Alligator mississippiensis: one gene and its partners. The protein of the gene in region 3 interacts with the protein of the main gene of each other region in a pairwise test. Links are inferred from orthologs where the notes say so. Each region holds a gene or a part of one and is shown on either strand. Other genes may lie near its edges.

Evidence for each region.
Region 1: the proteins of ATXN1 (region 3) and DNAJA3 interact in binary tests that used the Homo sapiens proteins (3 or more experiments, as listed by UniProt). The link is inferred for Alligator mississippiensis from reciprocal best matches to the Homo sapiens genes ATXN1 and DNAJA3.
Region 2: the proteins of ATXN1 (region 3) and FDPS interact in binary tests that used the Homo sapiens proteins (3 or more experiments, as listed by UniProt). The link is inferred for Alligator mississippiensis from reciprocal best matches to the Homo sapiens genes ATXN1 and FDPS.
Region 4: the proteins of ATXN1 (region 3) and PSMC3 interact in binary tests that used the Homo sapiens proteins (3 or more experiments, as listed by UniProt). The link is inferred for Alligator mississippiensis from reciprocal best matches to the Homo sapiens genes ATXN1 and PSMC3.

What each region holds. Positions count from the first base shown.
Region 1 is NC_081836.1:25,252,923-25,260,874, forward strand, and holds the start of DNAJA3 (dnaJ homolog subfamily A member 3, mitochondrial), read left to right. Parts: upstream 1-4,943; 5' UTR 4,944-4,958; coding exon 4,959-5,157; intron 5,158-7,234; coding exon 7,235-7,371; intron 7,372-7,952. UniProt on the Homo sapiens protein: Modulates apoptotic signal transduction or effector structures within the mitochondrial matrix. Affect cytochrome C release from the mitochondria and caspase 3 activation, but not caspase 8 activation.
Region 2 is NC_081838.1:12,575,509-12,583,020, reverse strand, and holds the start of FDPS (farnesyl pyrophosphate synthase), read left to right. Parts: upstream 1-4,485; 5' UTR 4,486-4,625; coding exon 4,626-4,739; intron 4,740-4,857; coding exon 4,858-4,998; intron 4,999-5,179; coding exon 5,180-5,260; intron 5,261-6,039; coding exon 6,040-6,162; intron 6,163-6,426; coding exon 6,427-6,515; intron 6,516-6,820; coding exon 6,821-6,893; intron 6,894-7,117; coding exon 7,118-7,195; intron 7,196-7,278; coding exon 7,279-7,413; intron 7,414-7,512. Other genes in the region: pyruvate kinase PKLR, read right to left, coding at 44-194, 567-837, 1,164-1,350, 1,546-1,677, 2,026-2,117, 2,293-2,446. UniProt on the Homo sapiens protein: Key enzyme in isoprenoid biosynthesis which catalyzes the formation of farnesyl diphosphate (FPP), a precursor for several classes of essential metabolites including sterols, dolichols, carotenoids, and ubiquinones.
Region 3 is NC_081826.1:129,980,165-129,987,089, reverse strand, and holds the start of ATXN1 (ataxin-1), read left to right. Parts: upstream 1-3,916; 5' UTR 3,917-4,218; intron 4,219-5,061; exon of another isoform or gene 5,062-6,536; intron 6,537-6,925. UniProt on the Homo sapiens protein: Chromatin-binding factor that repress Notch signaling in the absence of Notch intracellular domain by acting as a CBF1 corepressor. Binds to the HEY promoter and might assist, along with NCOR2, RBPJ-mediated repression. Binds RNA in vitro.
Region 4 is NC_081825.1:228,398,584-228,406,610, forward strand, and holds the start of PSMC3 (26S proteasome regulatory subunit 6A), read right to left. Parts: upstream 3,030-8,027; 5' UTR 2,921-3,029; coding exon 2,894-2,920; intron 2,820-2,893; coding exon 2,739-2,819; intron 1-2,738. Other genes in the region: RAPSN (43 kDa receptor-associated protein of the synapse), read right to left, coding at 3,336-3,408, 3,834-4,033, 4,752-4,805.

The DNA of each region.
Region 1 (7,952 bases), on a different chromosome or scaffold from region 3:
ACCCTACATGTCACCTATGCTTTGGGTAGAGGTGCTATCTTTTATTAGACCAACTGAATAGTTGCAAAAAAAAGTTTATTTGCAAGCTTTCAGACACACATGATCTTTCTCGGGGGAAAAAATTGTAAAACAAGAGTCTACATGACCACTAAATTACAACATCATTCCTTTCATGTTGTTATACATTTATGGCGATCCAATGCATCTGAGTAATTTTTCGAAGGCAATTGTTTTATTAAATTTTGTGTGTGGCAAAATTAAGTATTTAATTTTAACATTGCGTGTTGTGCTTTATTTATTAATGCACCATGCAAACATTTAACAGGTCTGTTTATTAATGCTTTTTGATACTTTCATATTTATAATGGGGTGTGGGGGGCCTCCAATTTTCTGTTTGCCTAGGGCCCCAATGAATCTTAATCCGCCCCTGGCTGCATTGCAGGCTATGGGCAGCCTCAGCCAGAAGGGCCTCAGAAGTGATGAGCGTGCTCGCTGCCAGGTTCAGCTTTTGCCAGGCGCCTAGCACCGGCCACTACTGCTTATCATGAGCAGAGCTGCCTCTCTGTATATCCCCCTCCCCAAAAAACTGTCCTGTACCTCCAGCACAGTGCCACAGCTTACACCAGCTCCTGGCCCATGCGCCAGAAGCAATGCTGGGCAGGCACTGGCATCAGCTGTGGACACAGGCAGCAGCTTCCCCCTGGGGACTGGGGGAAGCTTCTCCTTGGGGTAGAATGGCAGCTGGACACTGAACCTGCTGCCCACACCCACACCATCTCCCTTCCTCCCCTCCCCCTCTGCAGACCCATTCCACATAGGGAAGCTTGGTGAGCTATTGCAGGGTGGGGCGCTAACCTCCTCTGCAACAGGTCCCCAAAACTCCCTAGATGGCCCTCGGCCCCAAATTGCCCACCCCTGCACTAGATCCTAGAAGAGGGGATCCAGCATTCTGCCCAAGGTCTAAAAAAGCTGTGTGCTTTCATCAACAGGAAGAGGAGTAGCAATTCCCAGTGGTGACAAGGAGCGGTGCCAGGAGCAGCACCAGTGGAGCAGAGAACCTCAGATGTGGTGAGGAGTGGCAGTAGCAACTGTTGAGCAGTTATCCTCTGTCAGAGTACCAGTTACACTAAGGAGAGGAGAGGGGAAAGATTGGGGACAGCAGCTACCTTGTCTGCCCTAGCTACCAAGTTGTCCCTGCATGGAACTAGGGGAGAAATCTGGTCCTACTGACTGTGATATACTATGAAAACTTAGTTGGGATAGACTACAGACCATTACGGTCTTCTCCAAGATTGCTTATAAGTCTCACTTTTATGAGACCCTATGTAACTGTAAGTTTGCTACTGCTTGCAAGTTGGAGGTGTGTTCACACTGGAGGTACCAAGCAGCATTTTTTTCTTCAGGTTTCTGGGTGGGGGCTTGAGCTAAGTTGGATAATGTGTGTCAAAAGACAACCATCTAAATTTGACCCATGCTGTTGCCATCCACTGCCTAGCAGAAGGGTTACACTGGCAAACTAAAGTGTCCCCCATATTTAGCTGTTTTCTGAAAAGCTACTTCATTTGCAGGAGCAAATGTGATGCCCTTTGACTATCTCACAGAGCCAGAAGGAAATTATTTCAAAGGGTCAGACAGACATACTATATAGTTTTTCCAACCCAGCTTGCAGGCCTGGTATTCTAAAGATGTTTTGATCAAGAAGGACTGAGCAGGAGTCTTTGACCAGTGTAAGCCTTGAGCTGGCTAAGAGCAGAAGCACTATTTCCTTCCTGTGAGGGGTTAGGCTTTGCTGGCACTAGGAGACAAGGCTAAGCTAGCATCTCAAACCAATACTGCCCCACCACAAGCCGGGCTCCAACTGCCTCCTCACAGATAGACAGGGATATAGAAGATAAAGTGGTTTTTGATGGGGAGTTTTTTTTTCTGTTTTCAAGAGCCACCAGCCTCCCTAAGAGATAGTGTGTGCAGGTGGAGCATGAGGCCTTTGTGTAGCCAGCCCCCAGGCTCTGAGGGTCTCCACCTATTGCTCAGCCCACTCTGGTCTAGGGAGTTGTATGTGTGCCCCGCTACCCAAAAAAAGAAAAAAGGGCTCAGACCTGGTTTGGGGCCTCTAGGGGCTCAGCACAGCTGGAGTGGCAGTCACAGGCCCCAGCTCTGATGGGCTGGGTGTGAGGCTGGGCCAGGCCAGGCCCCTACTTTCCTCAGATCACTCCTCTCTGGGCCTAGCGGCTGCACTCTCAAACCTGGCTCCTGGGATAGAGTTTACCTCTTTGACCCAACTGGGCCACCAGCCATCACCATTACCCTACCAAGCATGCTCAAGAAGGTGTCACTGATTGTCCCCAAGAGGGATGCATTTTGAAAAAAAAAACCCTTGTACAGTACCGAACGGTTATACTGGGATTTCAAGTCCTTCCATGTTGGGATGATCCTGGTAGGTTCCTGCATCTTGCCCACATGACAAGCAGGCCCTTCCCAGCAGCTTAGTCCAAGGTGAAAACAGCTCATTCTCTGCAGATGAGTCCAACCTAGGAAATAATGTGCTCAGCAAAACCTGAACTTGCTGCAGGGGAGAGAGGAGAGGGCACTTTGTATCTACAGAATGGGCAAGCTGCTCCGCTAATAACCCTGGGAGTGGAAAAGTCCCTCTGCTCTTTCCTTGCCCTACAGTTAGCCAGTGCCCCTGCCTGAGGTAGATCATTGCTGGTGCCCTCTAGAAGGGAGAGGTCCCTACTCTATTCCCCACCCTCTGAACTAGCCAATCCCTATGCCTCCACCCATTCTTCAAGGAAAAAAGTGAGGAAAAGACAGCAATAAAAACCATGTTTCATATGAGAGAGTCCTTACAGTAGGACCTCCCTGCCCTGAGACATGTTATATTGGCAGGTATTTATACAGATTTCCCTTGATTTATGCAACAGATGCCTTCCCAGGGAACAGTGCATAAATCAAATTCACATAAAGCAAACCCAATTTACAATGAAACAGATAGGGATGACACTGGAGATTCCAGGTACCTTAGTTCTGCTTCCAGCTTTAACTTGCTGTGTGACCTGGATGTATTACTTTGGACTAAACTATTAAAAGGATCTCAGCCTGGCATCTGTTACAATTAACATTTAGACATCTACCTACCAGACATGCAGTTTGCTACTTACTTGGAAATGACCTTTGGTAACCACAAGGTCGGCAACTGCAAAGTTACTGTTAAAAAATGAAGTTATTAAAAAAAATATCAGGCTTGCTTTGTGCCTGAGTTTCCCCATCTGTAAAACAGGGATATGCCTACTTTCTTGGAATATTAAGATAACTAACTAGTTCATGTCTACTGCTCTGAGATTCTCTGATGAAGGTTCTTTAGGAATTCAGATCATAAGTACAGTTGCTTCAATACTGCCCATACCCACTTAAACATGTGAAGCAAGACTCCACACAGATGTTGATAGTCCCAAAATCCTACTCTCACACTACCCACATTTAATATTAGGATATCATATACCTTATCTCTTCACCAACTGCTTATCATCACTTCCCACGTGTACCTATGGGGATGGGAGAAACATAACATGGCTTCTTTTCAGTTACTTAAAGGTAGTCTTTCTAATTAAGAAGTGCATGTTCCCCTCAGCTGTGTACTTGTCATGAATCCACCTCTATTTCTAAATGTGCATTCTCTGCTCTTAAAGAGTAGCAATGATTTCTTAGGATGATATATTTTATTGGATCAGCTGTGTAGTTGTGAGTCAGACAAGCTTTTAAATGCAAGACATTCTTCATCAGCCCTGATCAGAACAAGCCAGGCACAGCCATGTAAGCTTAAGAAATTGTTACGGTATAGTCTGGCTTCTTTTTTCTTTAGGTTGTGGATTTTCCATTTTAAGTGTCAGATTTCAATGTCTTCCATGTCGTGGTAGTGTAAGAGCGATGGCATAGCCATGATGGTTCAGAAATGACATGATCTTTCACTACCATAACATGGAAAACAACATAATCTACTGCTTAACAATGCAAAATCTATAACCTAAGAAAAAAGAAGCCAGACTGCATTTCGTAATGTTTTGCGCATGAAGGCTCAGAAATAGACATAGCCAGTTGGAATGTGATCTCCTGGATCCAGGACCGGACAGAGCAAATAGCTGCACTTAATGTACCTCCAGTGCTTTGATAATGGCCTCGCCCTTCCCCTGGGGCAGGAGGTGAGCCAAGGGCAGAAGGGAGAGAGAGCTCCAGCATCTGCTAAAGTTGCGTGTGTCCCAGGTGCACAAGTGCAGGCTGAGCAGGCATGTTGTACAGCACAGACCCATTTTGCACCTGATGTTAAACTGACATAGTCTTCTACAAATGGCTTGTTTCCTTGGACTTCAGGGAGCTCAAAGCAGATGCAGCACCTGGACTAATGGACCACAAATAAAGGATTTTTATAAAAAACACAAGTCAAATGTCTAGTTGCTGTTTTAAAAAGGAAATGGGCAGAAAGCAAGCGCAGCTCCAGCCTGCCACAAAAAGGCCTCTCAGGTAGCAAGAGGGAGAAAGTGACAATCCGAGATTGGGGATGAGAAAGCCTGCGGCCAGCACGATCCGCCGGGTCTATTTGCCCGGGCAGAAGCTGAAGGCAGCGCGTCTCGCTGGGCAGGGTAGACAGTGGCACCTTCAAGCGGCCTGGGCCGCATCGCGTGGCGCCGCGGCACGCTCAGGGCAGGAGGAGCGGCCCGGGCACGAGGCAGCTGTTAAAAATACGGGGCCAACAGGAGACGCGGAAACACCGGCTTCTCCACGAGGGGACGGACGGGCGCGACGAACCCCCCCCGCAGCCCAGCCCCCTTTGCTGCGGCACGGAAGCATGCGCAGTGCTCGCCGCGCGCGGCCGGGCAAAGCTTGCGCGCAGGCGCAGTGCTCCGCGCCTTGGCCCGCGTGCGCCGGGCCGGAGGGCGCAGGCGCAGCGCGGCGCACGGGCCAAGATGGCGGCCGGCTGCTCCCCGCGCTGGCTGAGCGCCGCGGCCACCGGCCTCGGGGGGGTCCGGGGCGCCGGCAGGACCGCGCGGCTGGTGCTGCTGCGGCTCAGCCGGGGACTCAGCGCCGCCCCCGCCGCCGCCTTCCCCGCCCGGGCGGGGGCCGGGAGCCGCCTGCTGACGTTGAGAGCCGGGGTCAGCCCCGCGGGTGAGCGCCGGGCCGGGCGGGGGCTCCGCGAGGCCGTCGCCGCGGTGGGGGCTGGCTCCGCGCGGCCCGGGGGAGAGGGCGCCGGGGGCTCTGCCTGCCGTGCTGACGGTGGAGGCACGTGGGAGGCGGCCTGGCCCGGCCCTCAAGTCACGGCCTCTGCGTCCGCCTCCGTGCGGGTGTTCGGCGGCAGCAGGGCCCGGAGACGCTGTGCCGCTGCCAGCTGGGGAGGAGGCTGCCCCAGGCGGGAGTGCTCGGCCCTCTCCTGCAGCGCGGTGCGGGCCGTGTCTCCCTCTGCCCCGCGCTGGCTGGAAGCCTCGGAAGGGCCGACGTGCACGAGCCCATCCTTGAGTGCTGTAAATAAGCGGGAGCCTGTTGGACTGGCGCCATGTGCCGTCTCAGCAAATTCCAGATCAGCTTTAAGCCCCTGTTCCTCATCCTCACATCCTCCCGTTTTAGAGCCTGGCCTGTGTGAGGCCCACCCCAAAGCTGCCTACCCACGCAGTTAGTGTTGAAGACACCAACGATGCAGTTAGTGTTGTCCGGGTTAGAGGGAAGGTGGGGCAGACTTATGTTTTATAGGCTAGATAAATCAAAGATGTATAGCACAAGTCCTACAGGCTAGCAGGGTCAGCTGTCCTTCTCTGTCCAAGGTCAAGCCATTGGGAGCCAGGTAAATTAATCCCACCATTTCAATTCCTTCTTTTTTTTTCAGGGGGTCAAAATGAGTTTTCATCTTGCTCATTTTAGAGGACAGGGCAAACCTCTTTGCCTCTATTGAGCAAGATCTGCCTTGACAAAATGGAGGGAAATTTCATCTCTTAGATCTTATTTTGTGAAGAATAATGGAATTAAGATATGAAATTATTTGACTGCTCTGCTTTTACCTGCAGAATGCTTCTAAAGCTGCATTAAAATCTCTTCATGTTTTCAAGAGTCTGGGGAAGAGTAAATGCTTGCTTCTCTTAAAGTTAGTTGCATGTCTCCTGTAACTTCACTGTTACAGGTTTTAGTCTTACCTTAAAACTATAAAATGCTAGAAAATTAATTGAATATTACTCCATGGTATCTCATGATTTAAGCTCTGTGAAAAGTAGAATGGCTTCTTTGTCACACCACCACATATCTACTGTCTGCTGTGATCAGAAGTTGGCCACATACAGGGATGTTGCTAAAAAAAATTGTGAATGAAATCTTAAATTGTGTCAGAATTCTCCCTATAATTATTGCATTGGTTGTTGGCACCCATCACTATCTTAAAGGCGTGGTAATTTTAGCTCTGGTATATATATATTTTTCTAAATAAAATTTCTTTTTTGCACGTACCAAATTAAGCATCCTGTGTAAGCTTCAATACATTTTACAATCTTCAGTTAAATTGAAGTTAAAAAAGTAGAAGCTGTTTTTGATTAAGAAATGGTTTCTAAAAAACCCCTCATATTTATTTACCTTTTACAGATGGAGTATTCCATGCAGTTTTTCAGTGTAACTGTCTTGATTATTAATACAGGTTTCCCTCACTTTATGTGGGTTCTGTACATGCAAATTTGCTCTTATGTGATGACCCATTTTATACCAAAAATGTGTTATATGCGAGGTAAATTTATTCTTATGTGATTGGCGTGGTGGAAGCCCAGTCAGCTGCTTTGTGTGGTGCATTGTGGGAGTGACCCACTCCAAAATATAGTCTCTTGTGTGGATCTTTGCTCCTCACTCATTGTCTACGACATGCGTTTCTGTAGTTGCCATCCCCATTATGATTATGCCCTGTGCTTGTGTGTACTGTCTGCTGTAGGTGAGTACCAAAATTACCTTGTAAAAGTGGTAGAAATGGGTCTGGTGGTCAGTAAGTCGAGGTATTAGAATGTATCCCTATTTGTTACATTGTAAAGTCGGTTCTCTTTATGCGAATTTGAGTTATGCACCATTTTCCAGGAACACATGTTACAGTATAAAGCGGGGGAAACCTGTACACAAGAGCAGGCCGTGAAGCACCAGGAAAGGTTCTGCGGAAGGTCTGTGGTTTCTTACAATTTGTCTTGTTTTGACTTTTTTTTCTTTTCTGTCTGGCTTTTCTTAGGAACTAAAAATTATCCTTTAATATGCAATGCCTTGTTTCATACTGGTTCCTCCTCTTGCACCAAAGAAGATTATTACCAGATACTGGGAGTTCCTCGAACTGCTACCCAAAAGGAGATCAAGAAAGCCTATTACCAGGCATGTATGCTAAAGAAAAATGAAAATGGTTTAATTTCATGATTGACTTCGTGTTTTGAATTTTGTCTTGTTGGGGAGAGTGTATTATGACCCACTTTTTACTCTTACCTGAAATATACCAAAGTAAAAACTTCCAAGTACTGTCATGCTAGTGATTTTTTTTTTTTCCTTGCATGGTGGAACGAGGCCGATAATATATTAAAGGAAGTTCAGTGCCATCAGATAGATTCAACACAGTCGTCCCTGGTTAAATATATTATTTTGGGCAGTGGCCAGTATCTTTTACATCAGGGAAGGCAAAAGCCACAAAACTCATAAATATTAGTAAAATGCTGATTTTTATTTTTGGTATCTTTCTGTGGCCTTTCTTTTTGCGTTCTTTAAATTTTTTTTATACTTAAAAACCTCTAAAAATAAGCTTTCAGAGTCATTGGTAGCAAGATTATAGTTATGGTTCACTCTTGTCATTATGCATATTAAGAGCATTCTTGGTGAGCCAGGCCCTGCGTGCAATGGATAGGTGTTGATTGGCTGGCTCATGTGGAAAAGCTTTGTGATGCTTCTTTTATTATGTTCCTCAT
Region 2 (7,512 bases), on a different chromosome or scaffold from region 3:
CAACCCCCGGGGCCCCGATCCTCAGAGCCTGGAGCAGACTGACCTGCGTGGCACAGATCACAGGCTTCCCCGCACGGTTGCAGCAACCAATCATCATTTTCTGCGCCACGAAGACTTTCTCTGCTGGGATTTCAATGCCCAGGTCCCCGCGAGCCACCATAATCCCATCACTGGCATCCAGGATCTCATCAAACCTGCAGGGCAGAACAGGCTTAGCTTCACACGGCTCAGGAGGTGTCCCCATCATACCCACCCCAGGCAAGACATGCTACTGAAGGCGTGTTCTGGGAGCTCAGGGAATGGCACGTGGCTGCCACAAGAGTGGGTGCCAGCCTGGCCACAGAGCTGAGAGCTCGTGGGACACAAGAACGTCCAGAGCAAGCCTGTGTGTGCCTGATGACCCCATGCAGGTAAGTGCTGCTGTGGCCCCCCGGGGAAATGCCTTTGGGGTGGGCATGATGCCCCATCCCCAGCGATGACATGTGGGGCAGAGAGGAACATTTCTCTCCCCTGCTGCCGCGGCTGATAGGCAGGGGGCAGACAACCAGGGACACAGGGACAGTTACTTCCTGACGCCCTCATGGTTTTCAATCTTGCTGATGATCTTGATGGTGCGGCCCTGCTCGCCCAGCACAGCCCGGATGGCTGCCACATCAGCTGCCTTGCGGATGAAGGAGGCAAAGATCATGTCCACGCCATGCTGCAGCCCGAAGTGCAGGTCGCGCACATCCCGCTCTGACACAGCTGGCAGGTCGACCTCCGCCCCTGGCAGGTTCACGCCCTTGCGGCTGCACAATACCCCGCCATTCTCCACCTCCGTCACGCAGCTGTTGGGGCCTGGGGCAGGGAGAGAGGCAGTTCCAGGCCCTGCGGGGTCCGTGGGGCACAGGGACAGGGGCTGGGATGGGCACCCCAGTGGGGACTGGCCGGGGCAACATAGCCATGGTAGGGGCTAAAGAACAGCGCAGAGCATGGGGATGTAGCATAGAGCTGCGCCGGGGGGGGGGGGGGGGGGCATTGAGGAAGGTGCAGACACTCGGCTAGTGCCCTGTACCACCCTGGGCTGGGCAGGCGGTGGTCAGAGTTCTGGGGACATAGGCCCGGGTTGGGGGTGCCCTGTGCCACCCTGGGGTGGGCGGGCGGCAGAGCACTGGGGGACGTACCGATTTCCTTGACCACCAGGGAGATGAGCCCGTCGTCCACAAAGATCTTCCTGCCGACCTTTACAACCCTGGCGAGGTTTCGGTAGTCCACCCAGATGACAGACTGGTCGCAGCGCTCCTTGTAGGCCTCGTCGGTGGTGACCGTCACGCGGGAGCCCTTCACCAGCTCCACCTCCATGTTCTCACCCTGCACAGGCACCGCACGATCGGGGCTTCAGCGTGCCCAGCTTGATTGGCAGACCCATCCAAACCGCACCAGTCCCACCTGCTCCAGTGTCCCCCTGCCAATTCCCGGACCCCTTGCTTTCTGCTACAGGCCAGGGCAGGGCAGCCTCCCACCAGCAGCCCCTGCCCCTTTCCCATCCAGCTACTCTATACTCACCCCTTTGATCAGGCCAGTGCGGATCTCAGGGCCCTTGGTGTCCAGGGCGATGGCCACGGGGCGGTAGAAGAGAGGATTGGAGGCGAAGCTCTCTGTCGCCTCCCGGATGTTTGCAATGGAGCCGGCATGATACTGGCAGGGAAGAGCTAGGGCTGCAGGGGGGCTGCTGTGCAGAGCTGTGCTGCCCCTGCCCCTGCCCCAGTTTGTGGTCTCTGGTCCTGCCCCTTCCTTTCCCATCAGGGCCCTGTCTGCACCTGCCCTTCAGGGCCCTGCTTGCCCCAGTCAGGGGGCTTTGGGCCTTGCCCTGGATCCACAAACTTGTCCCCATCTCAATATCCTCCCTTGCTCCAGCCTGCGAGGTGGGGGCTCCCCCGCTGCCCCAGTGGGCAGACGCTCCCTAGCTACAGCACCCTCTCCCTGTGCCAGGCTGGGGGATCCCTGCTTCCACCCGTCTGTGGGGCCTGGCCCCTACCCACATACCTCGTGTGAGCCGTGAGAGAAGTTCAGGCGTGCAATGTTCATCCCAGCCTTAATCATCTCTTTCAGCATCTCCACGGAGCGGGAAGCAGGCCCTGGCAGACACAGAGGCTCAGACCCTCCTGCCCTCTGCCCAGAGACTATCCCACCCTCAGGGCCCTGGGCCTTGCCCCAGCCCCTCCAGGCAGGTCTCCGGTGCCATCCTGTGGCCCGGCACCCCCAGCTCTCCTGCACAGAGTGGTTCTTGCCCTTTCCCTGGGAGAGCAATACCTATGGTACAGACGATGCTGGTGTTGCGGGTGGTGATGGGCACCGAGTCGATGTCCAGCAGGCAGAGGTGCTCCAGGAAGGTGTCCGCCCGGGACGCCCTCAGCTGGTTCCTCTGGAAAAAGGCTGTGCCGAGCTCCTGGGTGAGCTGAGCCATGTCTTCCAGCAGCCACGGCCTGATGACCCCTGCTGAGACAGGGAGGGTGCAGTTGCACAAATGCTGCCAGGCGCAGCCCGTGGGATGGCAGCCCCTGCCCCCCAGTGCCGGGCTGGGAGCAGCAGGAAGTGCCGAGGCCTTCTTGGGGCAGTGCCAGTGCCCCCTGCTCAGGGCAGCGTGAGCGGGGAGTGCTAGCTGCATGCCGCCGTTGTGCAGCCATCGACTCGGCGGGCACTTCCCCCCTGGTGCCAAGGTCCTGATCATCGCTCAGCGGAGGGCTTGGACCCACCTTCCGTGTGCAGCCCCAGTGCAGCCCGTCCTGCCATGGCTGCCTCCCTGCAGCCCAGACCCCCACCCCTGAGCAGACCTCTGACACGCCAGAGCTCATTAAAGTGTCACCAGAGCTCGGCCAGCTTGGACCAGAGGTCATTCCTGCGTGGCCTGGGGCTTTGCTGGCTGTCGGGCTCATTACAACAACCAGACCCCGAGACGGGAGCTGGGAAGGAGCTGGCAGCAACCTGGGATCAACCTGTGGCCCCTGGCATACACCGGGGCCCTCTGGGAGCAGAGCCAGGGCAAGCATCCCCACATGGTGCAGGCCCAGCGGGAAGCAGGGGCTGGGAGCCGGGATCCAGGCCCCAGGGACCACAAGGAGGCTCTGGGGCCAGTCATCTCACAGCAGCGTGGTGTGGACAGCTCATGTCGCACTGCCCTGGCGTACGAGACAGGCTCCCTGGGGCCGCACGGGCCGTCCTGGGGCCAGGGAGCAGCGAGGCTGGCAGCTGCGATGTGCAGAGCAGGCCTCGGCACCGGGGTCCTGGGCAGGCAGAACCAGCTCGCTGTGCGGGCGCGAGGGGCCAGGGCCGGGCAGGGGCTGCAATCCGGTCCCACGGCTGCTCCCGAGCCAGGAACCACCCACCTCGTTCCGGTGCTGGCCCGCTGCTCCGGCCCACGGGAGACGCCCCAGATAGGAACTAGGAAGTGGCAGCTCTCCCCTCCTCCCTGCCAGCCCCTGGGCAGCTCCCAGCCTCGCCCCTTCCTGCTCCTTGTCCCCACCCCTCCTGCTCCAGCCCGGCCCTGGTCCCGCTCCACCAGCCGCCGCTTCTCCCTGCTCGCCCACGGCCTGGGGCGCCGGGGCAGGAGTGGCGGGGCAGGCTGGCAGGGGGAAGGAAGCTGTCAGTGGGAGTCAAACGGTGGCAACAGCCCTGGTCAGACCCTGTTCAGTCTCAGCCTGCACCTGGCCTCTGTGCCACGCAGGAGACGGGCACAACACCCTGTGGTCTGACCAGATAGAGCAGGGAGCGGCAGGCAGAGCAGCAGAGGGGCAGTGAGCAGCAGGCAGAGCAGCAGATATAGCAGGGAGCGGCAGGCAGAGGGGCAGGAAACGGCAGGCAGAGCAGCAGATATAGCAGGGAGCAGCAGATAGAACAGGGAGCGGCAGGCAGAGGGGCAGGGAACGGCAGGCAGAGCAGCAGATATAGCAGGGAGTGGCAGGCAGAGCAGCAGAGGGGCAGGGAGCGCCAGGCAGAGCAGCAGATATAGCAGGGAGCGCCAGGCAGAGCAGCAGAGGGGCAGGGAGCAGCAGGCGGAGCAGCAGATATTACAAGTAGCGGCAGGCAGATGAACGGAGCTGTAAGGAGCAGCAGGGATCGGGGAAGAGCTAGTCGGGGGCGGGGCCTAGGGGGCGGGGGCGGGGACACCCACTGTCAGACGGCTGCTGAAGGATTACGGTACTTCTGCCTGCGGGCCCAAACTTCCTCCTCCAGCCAATCCCGAGGCTCCGCCGGGCGTGGCCCCGCCTCGCCACCCGCTGACTGGCTCATCCCCCCAAGGGCCCATCCTCATACGATGGGAGGTGGCCAATGGGCGCGGCCTCCCGAGATGGGACGGGGCACCGCCCCGCCCCGCCCCGCCGCGAGGCAGGCCGGGAGTTGTGGTCCCGGCGGCGGCGGCGGGCGCGGGGCTGGGGCCGCGCGCACTACAGCTCCCAGGCGCCCCCGCGCCGCTGCCGGGGTTTAAAGTGGGCGGGGCCGGCGCGCGGAGTGGAGGCGGCTGCGGAGCAGGTGCGGGGAGCACGGCTTGGACGGGGCGGCTGCTGCTGGGCCGCGCGCTCGCTCTGGTGCGCGGAGCTGCGGGGCCGGGCCTGAGCCTGAGCGCGCCGCGTGCGGCAGGGGCGGCGATGGGCGCGGACCGCCAGGCCTTCGAGGGCTTCTTCCCGCAGGTCGTGCGCGACCTCACGGCCGACGGGCTGCGGCACCCCGAGGTGGGCGACGCGGTGGCCCGGCTGAAGGAGGTGAGCGGGGGAGTAGGCTGAGCGGCGGAGGGGGGAGAGGCTGTGCTCGCCCTCGCGGGGTGCCCGGGGTGGGTGCCACCGGGCCGGTGTCAGCGGAGCTGTGTGCTTGTCCCCACAGGTGCTGGAGTACAACAGCCCGGGCGGGAAGCACACGCGGGGCCTGACCGTGCTGGCCGCCTTCCGACGCCTCGTGCAGCCCGAGCAGCAGGGCCCGGACAGCGTCCGGTGCGCGCTGGCGGTCGGCTGGTGCATCGAGCTGGTGAGGCCAGGCTTGGGGGTCCCGGGTGCGGGGGGGAGCAGGCTCCTGAAGGGCCTGGGGGCACCATGGACCCCGTCAGGCTCCCCACCAGGAGGCTGGCACAGCCCTCGGTGCCTGGGGGGACCTGGGCCTGAACCGCTTAGTCCCGGTGTGGTACGAGAAGGACTTGTTCTTGTTGCAGCTCCAGGCTTTTTTCCTCGTGGCAGATGATATCATGGACTCGTCCCTCACCCGCCGGGGCCAGCCCTGCTGGTATAAGAAGGTACCGGGGGCTGGGGCAGGGGCTGACGGCACTGGGCATCGCTGCTTCCAGGTCCTGCCACAGCAGTTCAGTCACCTCATGCGTCCCCTGGGCAGTGCGGGGCTCTGTGCCATAGAAGTGCTTTTCCAGTCGCTGCTCGCCCACGCGAGGTGCTCTTGCTTCACATTTCTTTGCCAATTCGTGCTCTCGTGTAGTTGCAACGTTTGCCCCAGCCCTTCCCGGGCACGCGCTGCCCTGGGATGTACTATCCTGCCTTGCTGCAGCAGTTTACCCTGTTCTTGTCCTCCCGTGATGTTCTTGTCCACGTTCTGAATCGGTGTTCCCTGCGCTTCCGATTCCCACGGCACATCTGGATTAAAAGGGGCCGTGCGCTGCCTCCTGACCCTGGAGAAGGGGTGCGGTGTGTTTGGGCTGTCTACACGCATGGGCCTGCCCACCCCTTTGATTCTGTGGCTGGGTCCTATCATGCAGAGCTGGGAAGTTCTTGGCAACAGTGTTAACTATCACAGTTTCTACACCACCAGACTTCTGCCTCATGGGGCTCCCCATGCTGACGCCGACAGATGCTCCTTTGGTGCCGTCACCCCTCATGGCACCCATTGGGAATTGTTATTCTGATGCATTTGGGTGTTTTGCCCAAAGCTTGAGCCTTGCAGCTTGAACTCTCACTGCTGCTGGCTTGCCTTGTGGTGCGTGTAGGGGAGGATTGAAGCATGGAGCCTGGCAGAGGGTGGATGGAAGAGGGCTGGCTCTAACCTGCCCTGGGCCTTCTATTGCAGGAGGGGATTGGTTTGGATGCTGTGAATGACTCCTTCCTTCTTGAATCCTCCATCTACCGGCTGCTGAAGAAATATTGCCGGGGGCAGCCCTACTACCTGCACTTGCTGGAGCTCTTCTTGCAGGTGGGGCTGGCCCCTTTGCTCCCATTTTCCTCCTGCACCCTGATTGCCGCAAGTCAGCTCCCCTTGGGCACGTCTGATCTCACTCGGGTCTGCAGGTCACTGTCAGAGAGCTGCCACATGCCTGCCGGGAGGTGCAAGCCCCATGCCACGTGGTGGCAGCTGCTTGTTCCCCTGGATAGTCTCTGAGTGTCCAGGGATGGGGCCTTCAGGGCCATATGAGCAGCGCATAGTGGGGCTGGGACCTCACGTCTTCTTCCTCCTCAGACCAGCTACCAGACGGAGCTGGGACAGGCTCTGGACCTCATCACAGCTCCCCCTACCCAAGTGGACCTGGCCCGCTTCACTGAGCAGAGGTGAGGCCTAGTGGGTAAAGCCTGCTATCTGGGGGCAGGTGCAGTGACTGGGGCAATTGTGGCTCATGGACGCGGCTGCCTCAGCAGCGCCCATTGCCCTGCAGGGCACCTCTGTGTAGCTGAGGGGTAGCAAGGAGCTTCTCTGGGCTGCTCCCCCCCCTGGCTGCTGTCTTTACAAGCCAGAGGCTTTGACATCTCTGGGGCAATGCTGTAGCCAGTTGTCCCTGGGAAGTGGCTCCAGTGTCTGCAAGGTGCTCCTGGCACCCTGTGGGCCTCGGTCACTGAGTGTGGCTCCTGTCTGGCAGGTACAAGGCAATTGTTAAATATAAGACAGCTTTCTACTCTTTCTACCTGCCTGTCGCTGCTGCCATGTACATGGTGAGTGTCCTCTGCAGCCCGCATACTGCTGGCTGACATGGGTGGGCAGGCAACTCTGCTGTGGGAGGGAGTGTGGTGGTGCGCATGTCTGGGGGGGTTGGGGTAGGCTCTGCTGGCTGAGGACCTGGGGGGGGAGGGGAGGGGTGTATGTGCAGCAGAGGACCAGGGTTGTGAAGGGTCTGGGCTAGAGGCCGAGGCATCTCCATTCTCTTCTCTCCTTGCAGGCTGGCATAGAGAGTGAGGAGGAGCATGCCAATGCAAAGGCCATCCTGCTGGAGATGGGGGAGTTCTTCCAGATCCAGGTAAGAGACCCCTTCTCCCATAGGTGCTCATGAGACCCTGTACTCTGGAAGGTCACAGCACAGTAGGCTTTGTCTGCCCACAGGATGACTTCCTTGATTGCTTTGGGGATCCAAGCTTGACAGGTAAGATTGGCACTGACATCCAGGACAACAAGTGCAGCTGGCTGGTGGTAGAGTGCCTGCGCCGGGCCTCTCCAGAGCAGAGGAAGCTCCTTGAGGTATTCTCACTGGGAGATTAAGACCCTGCCCCCCTACTGGTGGCCTGTGGCAGGGGCAGTGGGGGTTGCTGCCTGGCTTACTAATGCTTATGGGGGAAG
Region 3 (6,925 bases):
CCTGTCCCCAGCCCACTCCAAACCTGCTCCAGACACACCTGCCCACGCTGAGCAGTGGCAGCAGTAGCAGTGGCCAGGCAGAAGCTGCTAGCTGGCATGGAAGAAAATGCCCCTCCTAATCACTGCTGGGGCCTTCTTGCTGCAGCCACCCAGAGCCCACACCTGGGCTGCCCTGCAGCTTCTCTCTGCTGCCATCACTGCCACCTCCGGGCTGCCCAGTGGTGGCAATGCAGAGAAGCCACAGGGCAACCCAGGTGTGGGCTTCAGGCAGCTGCAGCAAGATGGGCTCAGCAGCAGTGACGGTAAGGGGCCTCTTTTCCTCCTTGCTGAGCAGCAGCTTCTGCCTGGCTGTTGCTGCTGCTCAATGTGGGCAGGTGAATCTGGAGCAGGCATGAGGCAGGCCAGGGATGGGGCTGTTTGCATAGGTTCTGGCTGGTCCACTCCAGCTGGGGAGAGTCTGTAGCAGGCACGGTCTGGGCCAGGGTCGAGGCTGGGGCTGTGTGCTGTTGGTGGTGGCACAGAGGAACCACCCGCAGGGTACGCAGGCTCGGGTGGTGAGGAGGTACTGGCTGTTGTTTAACTGTGCGATTAATTGCGACTATTTTTTTTAATCTTGCAATTAATTGCTATGATTTTTTAAAATCTTTTGTCAGCCCTAGTCAAATTGTTTGTAAACCCAGGAACTCCATGCTGCATCTGTTTATATTCAGTTTTACATTTTAAAGGGGTTCTTCTTAACTGTGAGGTCTAGAACTATAGATAAAGCTTACATTTTGAAAAACATTATTCCATGGCAAAGTATGGCAAACTTCACAGCCAGAGAATGGAAGAATGAGCAGTGTTAATCTGTTGCAAAGGGGAAAGTTGTCCAAAGCTTGCTTCAGCATGAATGTGGCTTCTCTTTCTCCGTATGTGCCACACCTGTTGGCAAGGCGAACATCTCCGAAGGAAGAGATTCCTTTCTACTGAGGTAACTCTCTGAAGTACAGAAGTAACAAGGTGACGGGGAGAGAATGCAGTGTGTGTTGAGCTGAACCCAGATTAAGGTGTTGCATCATCACTAGCACTTTTACGTGGTTTTCAGTAATTCACCTTCTCGTCCTTTCTTTGATTACATTAATTAAACTTGCATAAGCTGGGAGAGGATGCTACTGAGGTCTGCTTTGCTGTTGCAGATTGGCTACCCTGTGATGCTGAGTTGCATGTCTCCAAATGCCTAGGCTTGTTTCTGTCCCCAAAGCACTCAGAAAGCAGAGAATGCCATCCTTTTGTGCAGACCTTAACTAAAGGTTTAGACGTTGCAACAATAAAAGAACCTAATTCTTCATAAGCCTATACTAGATTGTTGTTTCCTATAGGTCAAAACCTTGGCAGCTTACAACATTGTTTACATTTGCTCTTTAGTGAGTAATATATTTCTAAGTTATAGAAATGCTTCACTGACACCTGAGGGGCATCTAAACTAAAAAAGTGCCATTTGAGATCCTGCACTGGTGTGAGTGAACTGGTGCAAGTAGTGACAGTACAGAATGGCCACACGAGTTATCCTGTTTGGAGGAAATGCAGTATGTTCGGTCCAAATTAGAACCTCTTTTAAGTGTTGCCAAGGGTTATGAGGCATTGTACATATGCTACAATGTTCAGCACATCTCTCCTTAGAGCAGGTGTCATTATGTCTATAGCATACATAGGGCATTTGTGCGTGTTCCCACTGTGGTTACTTTTGCCTCAGAAGATGCTTGTGCATAATAAAGAACAAGGGTTACTCTGTGCTGTGTCCTCTCACTTGCTAATGCTGTGGCAGTCAAAAACTTCTTCTGGACTCACTGCCAGGCCCTACCAGGACCTAGTAGGTTAGTAGGTAATACAACAAGCATGGCCAGCATTGGGCTTTGGTGCTTTAGGAGGAACAGCACTTGATTTTATGATGTGCTTTCACTTCCCCAGTACCCTCTTCAGTTTCAATTTTGTTCTCCCCTTTTTTTGGCTACTAAGATAATGGTTTGTTCTCTTCTGTGTTGTCTTCTAGGAAACTGGAGCCAGTCCAGAGGTCTCTGAGACAGGACATTTTCTTGGACTCTTTCTTGCCTCCAAGGGTGTCACTCTCCTGTCACCCTGACCTTCTGTAATGGAGCCGCTGAGACCCAAGGTCCTCCTCCAGGGGAACACAGGACAGTAACTAGTGGAAGCTGAACCACAATGGAGAAGTAAGTCATTTTTCCCAAGGCAATAATTGGGAGTGTCTTAGCCTCAGAGCAGGTATAATCAAGGCGGTGACACCTAAACAGACCTGTGCACTGTTGACACAGAGTACTACACTTGCACATACCTGGAATAAATTAGGGCAGCCTGTGTATGACACATGGCAGACTGGGGAGGACTCAGGCAGCACAGTGGCAGATAGGACAGGAAGCAATGCAGCAGATGGGGCAGGCAGCAGAAAAAGCAACAGATCCAGCAGAAGCCCAGGGCAGAAAGCAGAGCAGCAGATAGATCAGAGAAAGGAGATCAGAGTGCCCTTTGGGGAGGTTTTGGGGCTAATCTGTGACACGCTTGCCAAAAAAGACTGGACTCCACTGTATTAGGGTGTCCAGAGGGCCATTAGTATCTATATTTACCTAGTCTGACTAGGCCTTTCTTGAGGTTTAATGAAGGACATGAGTAAAAGTCATCAAAGCCTTGATCAGGGAGCAAGTACCATGGGCAGAAACAAAGTAGACCCTGCTAATAGGATTGGCCCCTGTACAAAGCATGTTAAGCAGGATTTCCTAGGAGAAGAGAGGCAGGCTTTGGCTTCTGCTTCCTTAGGGCATCCCTCTGTCAGGCACCTTCAGGCAGGCACCTATCTCACAGGCCTGGGGGGTGAGGAGTCGGGGGGAGGAATCCCAGCCTAGGTGAGACCAGCTGATCTCCACCATGTCCAGGAGGGATGGTGGCCAGGACAAGGCAGCTTCCCCAAGGCAGCCTCTAGCTAGCCACAGGAATGCTGGCCATCCTCAGAGACCCCTGGGGTTGGGAGTGAGTAGGATGGTCCAGCTCCACAGGACGAGCACCTTGGAGATCAAACCAGATTGCTGGCCAGACACAGGCCCCTTGAGCATGTATATATATTTAAAGAAATTGTCATGTTCCAAGCCAAATCAAGTCCAAATCCGTGAGTCAGTCCAGAACCATAAGTGGCCCTACAACCAGCAAACGTCCTCTACCCATACCAGGAACATCAGATGTTTCCAACATCTTTTGGCAGGCATCCAACTTGGGGATGCCTGAGTTTCACTTGCCCTCAGCCATATGGCTGCAGGAGCAAGCTAGGGAGGAACCTCCCCTTTCCATGAAATGGACTTAAAGCCCAAACACCTTGGCAGGTACTAAACCACACCAGAAGAGCGCTTATCCTCCAAGCGCTCAAGGAAAACTGTCTTCAGGGACTCAGATACATGGTGTTTCTCCTGCCAGGTAAGTATTGACAGGGTTGTATAGAAGCAGGATGTGTGCTGCCGTGGTTCCCCTGCTTTACCTGTGGCAGGGTCGGGGTTAGGTCTCTGTTGAGTCAGGGTTGGGTGTAGACTTCTGCAGAGTTCAGATGAGGGCTGTAGGGATGGTTTGGCTAGGGCTGACAGCGCATCCGGCAGCGGGTCGGACCTGATGACCTCTGGAGGTCTTTTCCAGCCTGACTTCCCTCTGATTTCTACCAGACACCCACAAGGCGCTTCCTTCTCCGTGCATCCCTAACCCAAGGCCAGCGAGCAGAGCTGGCCTGGCAGAGGCCGGAGGAGCCCTGCAAAGGGTTAAGGCCGGTTTGGCTCGGCTCTGCTGTGCGTATGCTGTAATGTGTGGCTCTCTTTGGCCGCCTGCCAAAGTGTTGCCTTGCCTCCACCTCCTCCTCCTCCCTCCCCTCCCCTCCCCTCCTCCCTCCCTGCCTTGTGCATGAAGTCGGATCCTTGAGCTGTTGCAGAGGCAGCCAACTGCTCCATATTTGGCTTCGCTTACACACTGACATACCGGGGAGCGGAGCAGCCTCGTACCGCAGACATCCCTGCATCTACTACGGCGCTGGGGGCAGCCGGGACCCGCGTGTCACTCACTCACTCCCGCCGCGGGGGAAGGAAGGAAGGAAGGAGCCCGGAGGAGCCAGCCCCGCTGCAGCACCCCCACGCCCGGCCCGGCCCGGCTGGGTGCTGCTGCCTCCCCCCGCCCCTCCTCCAGTGACACTTTACAGTAAGTGGTTTTTTATTTCTCCTCTGCTTTTGCCTCCCCCTCCCCCTTCCTCCTTCCCTGCAGCTGGAAAAAAAAAACACGGGGGGAGGGATCTTCTACCCTGTCCCTTCCTTGCTTTTGGGCACAAGGGCTTTGTGATCCCCTGGGAGTGTGTGTGGGGGGGATCATTGCACCCCCCCCCTTGCTGTGCATGCAAGGGTTGGGGGGGAAGGAGAAGGGATCTCTTACGCTGTCCCTCCTGCCCCCTCCCCTGCTCTTGGGCACAAAGGCTTTGTGATCCCCTGGGGGCACGCACTGCACCCCGTCTGCTAGGGGGAGAAGGGGTCCTACCCTGTCCCTCCTGTACCCAGGCTCCTGCCCCCCTCCCCTGCATGCCAGCTTGTGGGCACAAGGGCTTTGTGATCCCCTGCACCCCCCCCCCCCCTTGCTGTGCATGCGCGGGGGGGAATCTCCTACCCTGTCCCTCCTGCACCCGGGGCTCCTGCTCCCTCCCTCCCTCCCTCGCCGCGCAGCCCCTGGGCGAAAGGGCTTTGTGATGCCCTGGGGGCAGTCCCTGCACCCGCTTGCTGTGCTGTGCTGTGCTGTGCCGTGCCAGGCGGGGTGCAGGAGGGCCGGGGCCGGGGGGGGGTGCTCGTGGGGGAGGGGTCTGAGTTGCAAGGCCGGGCCGTAGTAGGGGGGGCGAATGAAGCGAGCGGCGCGGGAGGCGGCCGGCGGCGGCAGCAGCAGTAGCCTTCCCGCTCCGGGCCCGTGCGCAGGCCGGCTGCAGGCACCGGCTGGCGCGGGGCCGGGGTCAGGGCAGGCCTGGCTGCCCCGCTCCACGGCCTGGGGCTGGGCGCGGCGCTCCGGGGCCCTCACAGCGCCCCCCCCGGCCGCCCGGTCCGGTCCGGCCCGGCCGCCTGCCCGGGCCCTTGGGAGCCGGCTGCCCTGCAAACCACCTCCAAAATAACACCCCCCCCTCCAGCCTTGTCAAGTCCAGCTCCCACCAGAAGTGATGAGGCTGATGGGGGGGGAATAATAACCATCGCATTATTATTAGTAGTAGTAGTATTAGTGTTATCATTATTATGACCAGAGTGAGGCCTGTTGGGATGTGAGCGGGGATGGGGAGCAGTCGCTGAAGAGGAAACACGGGAGAGAAAACCTCCCTCTCCTCCCAGCGCATTATATAAGGAGAAGGCTGAGCTATTTTTATTTCTGTTTACCCTACGCAGGGCAATGGGGACTCTTGCAGGCAGCAAGTTTTCGGGGGGGGGGAGCCACTCTTTGGCCCCCCCTGGGTGAGGCTGGACTCCGGATATAATCAGTAAAAAAAAAATGAAAAAATGAAAAAGAGAAGCCTTCTGATGAACGCCTGGGTTAGAAATGCAGTGTAAAAAAACCACTGTCCCTTCCGCCTGCCCTTTATGAGCAAATAAGAAATGCGGGAGGCAGATGACCTTAGTTCTCCAAAGCCTTTTTATATTTGGTGGCATGAAGACATCCGTATGTCGTCATGCAGGTTCTCCTTAAAACGTAAGGATCCCTGCTATCTATTTTATGCAGCAGGGGTAGGCTGCATGTCAGACATGGTCTGGCATAGCCGGTTACTTTGATTATATATTAGGTAAGTCGAGGGCTTTTCATTTCAGTTTCCAACCCAGACCTTTAGCTACTGCAAAATTCAGATAGCATGTTAATGTAGTTATGTTGCTTTGGATGGTGAAGACAGTTCAGTTTTATAACCTGGAAAAAGGATTATGAATGAGGGGGAGAAAATTGAGGGTGAGAGAAAAAAAATATGCCGTAGCTTTTTTTTTTTTTTGGTGAGATGCAGCAAGGTGTCTTCTTAGAACAGCTTACAATTTTGTCTCATTGTCTCCAAACATACATGCATATATAAAAAATAAAAATAAAAAAATGGTCCAATATTTTACAGGCAGCAATTCTTAGAAAAGGCTGGCTTTATTATCGCCGTTTATGTAAGGCAAAGGTTGATAGGTTTTCTTCAACTCTTGCCTGTCTATCTCTCTGTCATCATGTAGATACATGTCAGTGGTGTAGGTTTTCAGTGCACTTACTCTAGCCCTGATCAGTCATGTAATTAGATCAGGCTGCCATGGTAACAGACAGTATTCATCGTCCATTCAGGTGTGTTTGTCTTGTGACTAGGCTACCTCAAGCGGTATATGTACTGTATTTATGTTGTGCAGCCTGCATAGCTGACTGCTCTGTCTTCTTGCAGAATGTTTCAGCATATTGTAATCATTTCCTGACCACTGAGTATGTGAAAGATGCTCCTCGAGTGCTACAGCATCAGGCAGTTTTTACATTTGTGCACGGTATGCAAATATATTGACCTAGTCAGGGAAATTACTCTAGTGTTTATTGTTTGTGAATCAACAAATGTTTGCTACTCCTTCTAAACTTTTTTCCAGGCTTATCTAAATGTTTAGTCCCCAGTCTAATCTTTTTAGAGGGCTAGGTGTTTAACCATGTGAAGGCTGAAATTGTGCATGAAAGATATCACAGGTCTGAGGGCTAACAGCTTAGGCCCCAAACGGCGTGCCTAACTTTACGTGCTCTGACTAGCAGAACGAAAGTGATGGATAACTGGCATCAGCATTATCACTTACCTCAAAGAACGTGTTGTTATAAGCATGTTTGTAATTCTTAGCAAGATTGGGGCCTTCGTGTGTTTTACTTGGTCATTGAATTTCCAATTTCACTT
Region 4 (8,027 bases), on a different chromosome or scaffold from region 3:
CTGGGAGCTCAGAGTGCTTTGCAAAGTATCACCACTACAAGAGAGAGCACTGAGGCTACTACAGGCCTCAGTAGTCTACCAGTCATGACCTTTTGAATTAAATGAAACAAGACTCCCTGTACAGAGGCTGATAAACTGAGATCCTATGTTTAAAGGGCAACTGGATATTAGAAAAATGAGTGAGAGTTCAAAACTTTGAGTATAGACCGAGCACAACAACTGTTTCCCAAGAGAAAGCAGTGCATTCCTATTTTCTCAGACAGCAAGTCATCTAACACGAGGCAAAGATAAGACAGTCTTGCCTTTTACTGATGACCTCAGGATCCAGACAGGCATTCAATCTGAACACCAGAAGTTTCCAGCACCATGAAAGTGAAGTGAGAAGGGGGCTATGGAGGCATTCCAGCTCCTTAGCTGGAGAACTAGACTGTGGTAAGCTCTCCTGCCAGGGGCAAGAGAGGGTTGCTCTTTGGTTCCTCCAACCTAGATGGGAGCCTGATCACTGACAGCTTGTGCTCTCCCCTGCCCAGGAAGATGCAGGCTGTTAGTGATCAGCTAGCAGATGCTGAAAGACAGCCTCCAGCTCCAGCTCGAGCAAGTAACCAACCACTCTTCTACCCCCGACCTCTGGCACACCCTCAACTCACTGCACACTCCCAGAGACACCCAGGACCATTAAAGGCGCATAGGCCAGTGGTCCTACCACCTGAACCATCCCATAGCTCACCAGGATGGTTCAAAGAGCAGGGGGAAGCAAGATGGTTCTTGGGGCTGCAGCCAGAACACCAGCACTTGCCCATGATCTAGCCATGGGAATGCAGCTTCTTGTCACAAGCAAGAGTCCATGCTTCAGCCGCATCAGTGGTACTGTGGAGACCTCTGCCCTCCTGCCAGCACACTGCCAGAGGGCAGTCACAGTAGACAACTCTTCTGCTCACACAGCTGAAACACAGCCCTTGCACCAAGTGGTCCTGCTGATTGCTAGACTGGGTAGGGGGCCACCCATAGAGCCACCCCCTGCTTGGTCTCCTTAATCTGGGTGCTCTGTCAGCTCATGGCTGGGTATCCTCCTTCGCTCCAGGAGGGCGGACACTTTCGGCGGTTGCTCCCGGTGGCTGGGCCGGGTGCCGCATCTACAATATTGCCAAGAAAGGTTCGCGGAGATTTTCGGGGACACGGTTTTCGGGACCCTAGATGCCCATCTTGGGTTCCAGGAGGTCGGACAGGGGAAACTCCGGGGCAGGACCCTGCTGCAGGAGAGGGTCAACCCCGAGTTTGGCTCCATGTCGACTGGTGCTCCGGCCCGGGGGCGGGCCGGGCGGCCTGGCCGGACGAGAGTTCCAGGAGCCCGGCCGCGATTTCTACTTCTCCCCGGTGCCCTGCACGGTGGCCGGGCGGCCCCGGGCGCGGGCGGCGGGCTGCTCCCGCGGGGGAGACGAGCCGCCCTAACGTCCGGGAGGGAGGCACGGGGTCGACCTGGCTCCCGAGCTCCGGCCCTGGGTATCAGGATCCACGCACTGTGGAATACTCAGGGTCCCAATGCCACAGACATCGCACATGGTGCTAGAAAAATTCAGTGGCAAAGTTGCTAAGCCAGCAGCTAATGGTGGAATTGCTGTCTTTTCTGCCCCACAGGCTGCCTGAACACCTGCAGGCCTACGTTTGCTTCAGGAAAGCGGAGTGTTTCCCCGACATAAATGAAACACCTGCTCGCATCCGTAGGGGAGCCATTTTCTCTTTCAGGCAGCTGTGGACCAAACCTAACTGATCAGCGGAGGCCTCACCTGCAGCAGCAATCACAGCCATAGTTTTCTCTCTGTAGTAATATAGTAGGAGTGTGAATCTAGACAGAGCTCAGATTTTTATCCCCCATCAGTCTACCTTGTTTAAGGAGCCATTACTTAAACCCAAGAAGTAGAAGGGTAGTGTGGAACTACCTAACAAACATTATCCAGTCATCTGTGGCCAAGGTGCCCAGTACAGAAGAAGCAGTGAACTACATCTCTATGCCTGCTTGCTCCACTGCTGCTGCCAGCCCCATAGATTGAGCCCACCAAGGAGCCCCACAGTTCAGATCTGGCCAGGGGCAACTCCAACACCCAAGTTAATGGAGTTAAACTCGTCCTTCCCTTAAATACCCCTTCTCTAGGCTGGAGCTCGTTAGGGCACTGGACAGGCACAAATGCTGAGCACAGCAGCAACCTGCAACAAAAACGGCCTGCAAGTGGCAAGTCTACAGAGCAAACTCCCTACCACGAGGTGTTGTGGAAGCCGATAGTTCAAAAGGGGACTGAACAAATCCTTGGAGCAAAGGGGCATTGGTAGCAATCCAGCACAGGGGTAAATTAGGAGCACAGCCTCTGAATCACAGCTTCCTGGGCCCTACACCTGGAGGCTGCTGGTGGGAAACAGAGGAAAAGCCACATCCTGCTCACTGTCCCCTCCAGCATCCACTCTGCACCCCAGCTGCCGCGGGCCTGGGCCCAGCAGAGCCACAAGCCTGGAGCAGGCAGCGACTTGAGGCTGGGCACCGCGCAGGAGGAAGCGGAGAGGGCGCGCGGGCGGCACGGAGCAGGGCACGGCCGGTGCCCGCCGCCCTCTGCAGTCTGTGACGTGCGGCCCGGGAGGCGCCGCCTGAGGGGTCCTGGGCCTCGCCGGGCCGCGCCCCTGAGCAGCCGGACGCGCTCGCCGACAGGAGCCCCGGGGCTGCTGCTGCTAGGGCCGGGCTGGGCGCTCACCTTGATCTCGCTGTCCAGCAGGCGCGTGCGCTGCACGATCTCCTCCGTGGACATCTTCAGCACCTCCTCGCCCACGCCGTCCTGGGGGGGCACGGGGTGGTCAGCGGCCGCTCCCAGCACCCCCATCCCTTGTCCCCCTCCCCCGGCCCCCTCACCTCGGCCTCATCCCAGACCGACGCCATTCTTGCTCTGTGCGAGTAAACGCGGCCCGGCGTCACAGACCGCGGATTCGTCTTAGGCCGCGGCGGGAAAGCCTGTCCCGGCCGCTACGGGACCGCGCTGCTCCTCCCCCGCCCCCCGTGTCGAATCTGCTGCGTAGAAACCTGCCCCGCCGGTCACGTGACAGCGGCCAAATCTGCTGAGTGATGGCTCCGCCGCCATGTCGATGAGGGACAGCGCGGAGGCGGGGCCAGCTGCAGGGGCCGCCCACGAGCGCTGCTCGGAGCGGAGGGGGCGGGGCGGAGCAGGCCCCGCCCAGGAACGAGCGCGGCCAGCGCGGGTGTAACCACTTTTATTTCCAGGACAAACAGCTCGCGGCCCCGCCCCCCGCGCGTCACAGTCTGGGGCGGGGCGGGGCTGGGAGGTGGCGCCGGCGGCTCAGACGAAGCCCGGCTTGACAGTGGCGCGGCGGCAGTGCGGGCAGCCGCGGGTCCCGTCCGTCTGCAGGCACCTGCAAGAGAGAGGAGGCGGTGCTCGGAGCGGCTCCTGGCCCCGCCCGCTGCCCGCGCTGGGGCACTCACACGCAGGAGGAACTGAAGGGGATTTAAGCGCAGCTCCGAGGCGCCTCCGGGCCTGTCCCCGCCGTCCCTCCAGGCCTATTTCTGAGACCCGAGGAGGGGGGCTGCCTGCCAGCCGGCACAGGGGGAACAAATCTGGCTGAGGCTCAGTAGACGGCAGTGTAAGGGGGCCGCCCCTGTGCAGGGGAGATGCCCACAGGACAGAGTCCTCTAGACAACAGTGGCCTTGCCCATCACTGCTCTAGCCCTGGGCTGCTAAACTCAGCTCGGGGGGGGCACCCCTGAGCAGCCACCCCTCCCCAAACCCTCTGCCAGAACCGACCTCCATCTGGCAGCCCCTGTCCCCCGTGCTCCTTACTTGAGATGGAAGAAGTGGGAGCAAGGCAGCGCCTGGAGCTGGTTGTTCCTCTCCCCGATGGACTCTCCGCACAGGCCGCAGTACAGCTCCATCTCCTCCACACACTCGTGGAACCGCACCACATGGCCGCGCAGCTCCCGCTGCCGCCCCTTGCTGCGATAGATGCTTTCACACAGGCAGTGAAGCTTCAGCAGGCCAAGCTAGTGGAAGAGGCAAGGGCAAAGCGGACACCGAAGGCCTCTAAAAAGGAAGCCTCCTCTAGCCCCACAAGGCACACAGGCCAAACCCAAAAAACACCAACCTGCTAAAAGCCAGGATGTTTAGGGTCAAGATAGAATTAATTCCTGTGGGCTCTCAGCCCTCCCTGTGTATCCATAAACCCTCTGGTCCCAGTGAAGGAGGTGAGAGGGTTGCAGCACTCCAAGCATGCAGCAACCTATTCACCAAGCTGGCTTTCCTTAGCTTTTCTTTCTACAGAGGAAGCCAGCCAGCATACAAGCCAGGCACAAGACTTGTTTATCTGGCTCATTAATAGATAGATGCCTGGGAGATGTTCAGAGAAGAAATCCCTAATCCTTCAGCTGTCCTCACCACCATCCTGTTCCTGCCCTGCTGTTGGAGCATCTTCTATTTCTGACTTCACTAACCTGCTGTGGATCCTTATTAATTTTTTAGCTATTACAGCAGCCAGCGTGTGCCCACTCCATTCAGAACTACCCCCTCCCTCTCTGCCCACTGATTCTTGCACAAACTAAACACCTGTTCCAAGATAATTGACTTTGAGGCTTGCAGCTCAAATTTGCCTCAAGGAATTACTGGTTAACCCAAGTTTGGGGAGGATAAACAGGCAGTAACTTTGAGATTGGGCACCTTAGTCTTCCTACCCCCAGTGGAGGGGAGCTGTGAGAGTGAGCCTACCTTGTTTCCCAGTCCCTCTGCCAGCTCCTGGGCCTTTTCAGTGCTTTCCAATGCCTGTGGGATGGAGCAAAAGATCACAAATACCAGCATAGGTCATAATTTCTCAGGCTGATGCATCAGAACCAGCTGTGCACAGCATAGCTAAGGGCATGATGGAGAAAAAACAGAGAGCTAGTGGGTCAGGATTAATAAAACATTGCCATGATAGAGTAAAAGCAGAATGGCTCCTAGGAAGCAAAACAGTGCGCCCTGGAGGCTTTCTGAAAACTGCTTGTTGCTGTCTGAAGTTGCACAAAATTTGGCAGGTACATTCCTCCCCACCCCAGAGATGCTTTGAGTGGAAAGTTGGCATGGCCTTAGCAGAGACCAGAGTCTTCAACTGAGGAAGATGCAGACCTTCTGGGACTCTGGTGCAGGAAATCACCACAGCTGAACTTAAGCACAAGCACAGCAGCAGGGTCAGCAGTCTTTGGACTTCAGGTATCTACTTCCACTACTATAAAAAGGACAGGAACAGGGACAGACCAGCATGCCAACAGGCACACAGCTACCAGTGAGTTGTTCCTATATCAGCTGCCAAGAATCCATGTGGTAAGATGTAGGAAGTTGTTGCTGTGGCCTCTCCCACCTGTGGGGAAGTGTTGCCCTTCTCACAGCTGCTACACTGAATGGCAGTCAGTGGCAGGAGGATAGGTTAGGGCTAATACAGACCCTGCCTGCCCTCCAGCCACTTTGCCCATCCACTGCAGCATGGGACACATGGTGGTGGCAGTGCTAGCTCTGGCATAGGGCACACAGTGGGTACTTGTGCTGTCACTTCATGGTCCTTTTCCCCAATGCACAATCGTCTAGATGTCCATTCCTCTCACTCCACACTTTCCTCTAGAATCATAGAAATGTGGGGCTGAAAGTTACCTCTGGAAGTCATTTATTCCAACCCTCCTGCCCAAGGCCAACCATCCCTGTCTATATCATTGCAGAGAAGAGTCTAACTTGCTCTTAAAATCTTCCAAGGAGGGAGATTCCACAACCACTCTAGGCAGTCTGTCCCAGTACTTAACTGCCCTCATATTTAGAAAGGTCTTCCAAAGAACCACCCTAATTTTCCTTGTTGCAGTTTAAGACTTACTTCTTGCCCTGTCTCCTGCAGCCATGGAACAGTGTCTGTCACTCTCCACTTTATAACCACCCTTCAAGTAATTGGGAATGTGTTAACAAATCCCCGCTGCCTTCTTTTCTCCAGACTAAAAAATGCAAATTCTTCCAAGCATTTCTTGTAAGCCATGTTTCCTAGCTCTCTACTCATTTCAGTTGCTCTATTCTGGATTCCTTCCAATTTCTCTCTAAGGCTTTGGAAATTGGCCATGGCTGAAGACTGAATGCTGAACAGGGTGGACAAATGCTCTCAAGTTCAACAAAGACTCCTCCTACTTAGATGCCCAACTGACTTTGCCATCATGTTCAGGATGAAACTGATCACCAGATTTGGAGTAAGGAAGGAATTTTGTTGGATTACTGGTCAGAATGGTAGATTTGTGGGCTTTCCTTCACTTTTCTCTGTAGCATGGGCATGGATCATCTGCTGGGATCATCTAGACATTTCTTGTCTAATCAATTTCCTGCTATCGCAAGGGCCTTCAGCGTTAGTGGTCTCTTCTGCTATACCTGTGCCACACAGCTTGGTCTCCTGATGTCTTAAATGCTTTTATTCAGTTGAAGGATTTGGGTTAGCGTACAGTATCTGGGTGACATTTGCTGGCCTGTGCTATGCAGAAGGTCAGACTAGGTGATCTGCTGGTCTCCTCTGGCTTCAAACTTTTCAAACGCTATGAAATTCCAAATCTCACCAGTACTCTACCAGCAGCAAACATCTGTGAAACCATCCCCCCATAGCTCAAGTTGGCAGAGGAGTGTATGTTGGATCTAAATGTTCAGCCTTGCTGCTGACCCTTTGATAGCCTTGGTAGGATTTGATTTTTATTGATAGACATTGATTTCATCTGACACACACAGACTGATGGAAAACTATTTCCATCAGTAATCATTGAAATTTACACCAAAGGGAAACAAAAAAAATTCTGGGATGGAGGTAAGGAAAATTGGGGCAGGGGTGTGCACATACATACACACACCCAGGAGCCTGGTGCTGCTGTCTCCTCACTCTGCCCAGGTCCCAGCTGGGGCAGGGGCCAGTCCCTGCGAGATCAAGGCAGGGGCCAAACGCTTGTGGAGGATGGACCAGGCAAGGCTCCATGGGCATTTAGCCCAGCCCTTGGCTGGGACTTGAACACAGCAAGGGGCTGGCAGCACCAGGCTCCCAGGCTTTACCAACACCCCGCCCTGGGCACAGCCTTACTGGCATAGCCCCCAGCTCCTGCAGCAGCTACCACACGTGTACACACGAATAAATTAATTTAAAATAAATTGAAAAATACCTGATTTTGTGCCGTCCTGAAAATGTCAATAGATAAAAATCATAATAGATGCTTAAAAATAAACATTCATTTTAGCCATCAAAATTTAAAAAAATTAATTCTGCCAGGCCTACCCATAAAATGTCACTAGGAGTCTGTGTGATGGGTGTCCTGTTTCTGAAGTTGGCACTTTTACAAAGAACATAAGAAATTATGACCTAAAACCCTCTATCAAAAGAACTTTATGGTTGCAAAGTCTAGCACTCAAAATGCTAGGAAATGACAGCATTCCTTGCATGTATGCATTTTGCAACAGTAACTACCTGATCATAACCTATTTTAGCCATAGGAGCCTTGTCTCATTAAACGCATACGAGGTTAATGAATCAGGGCTGGCTAATGAAGACACCTGGTGACAGTAGGACCCCAGCCATACTTGTTGCAGAATTTGGAAGATATGTAATGTATGAGATGGGATTGGAGGAAAACAAAGGATGTTATAAGGTATATGAATGCTGCCCTAGATTCTAGTACCACATCTAAAACACAGAAACACTAATGCCACTTTACTAGTTCAGAGTAAATTTCCTGGCCTGGTATCACAGACTTTTAATGAGTGATCCCCAATTGTGTATCACCTATTTTCTATGTGCCAGACTTGAGATACTGGGATCTCTACAGAGTACTAAGCAGTCAACATCTTAGCTTAAACCCATGAGAACCATGCTTTGAACACATAATGCTAAGTAGTCTGAAAAATTATGCTCTAGGTGTCTCAGATTGGACACCCACAATTAGCGGAAAATTTCAAGCTGAATCTCTGTTTTTCTGTTCCCCTTCTGTAGAATGGGGATAAAAATAT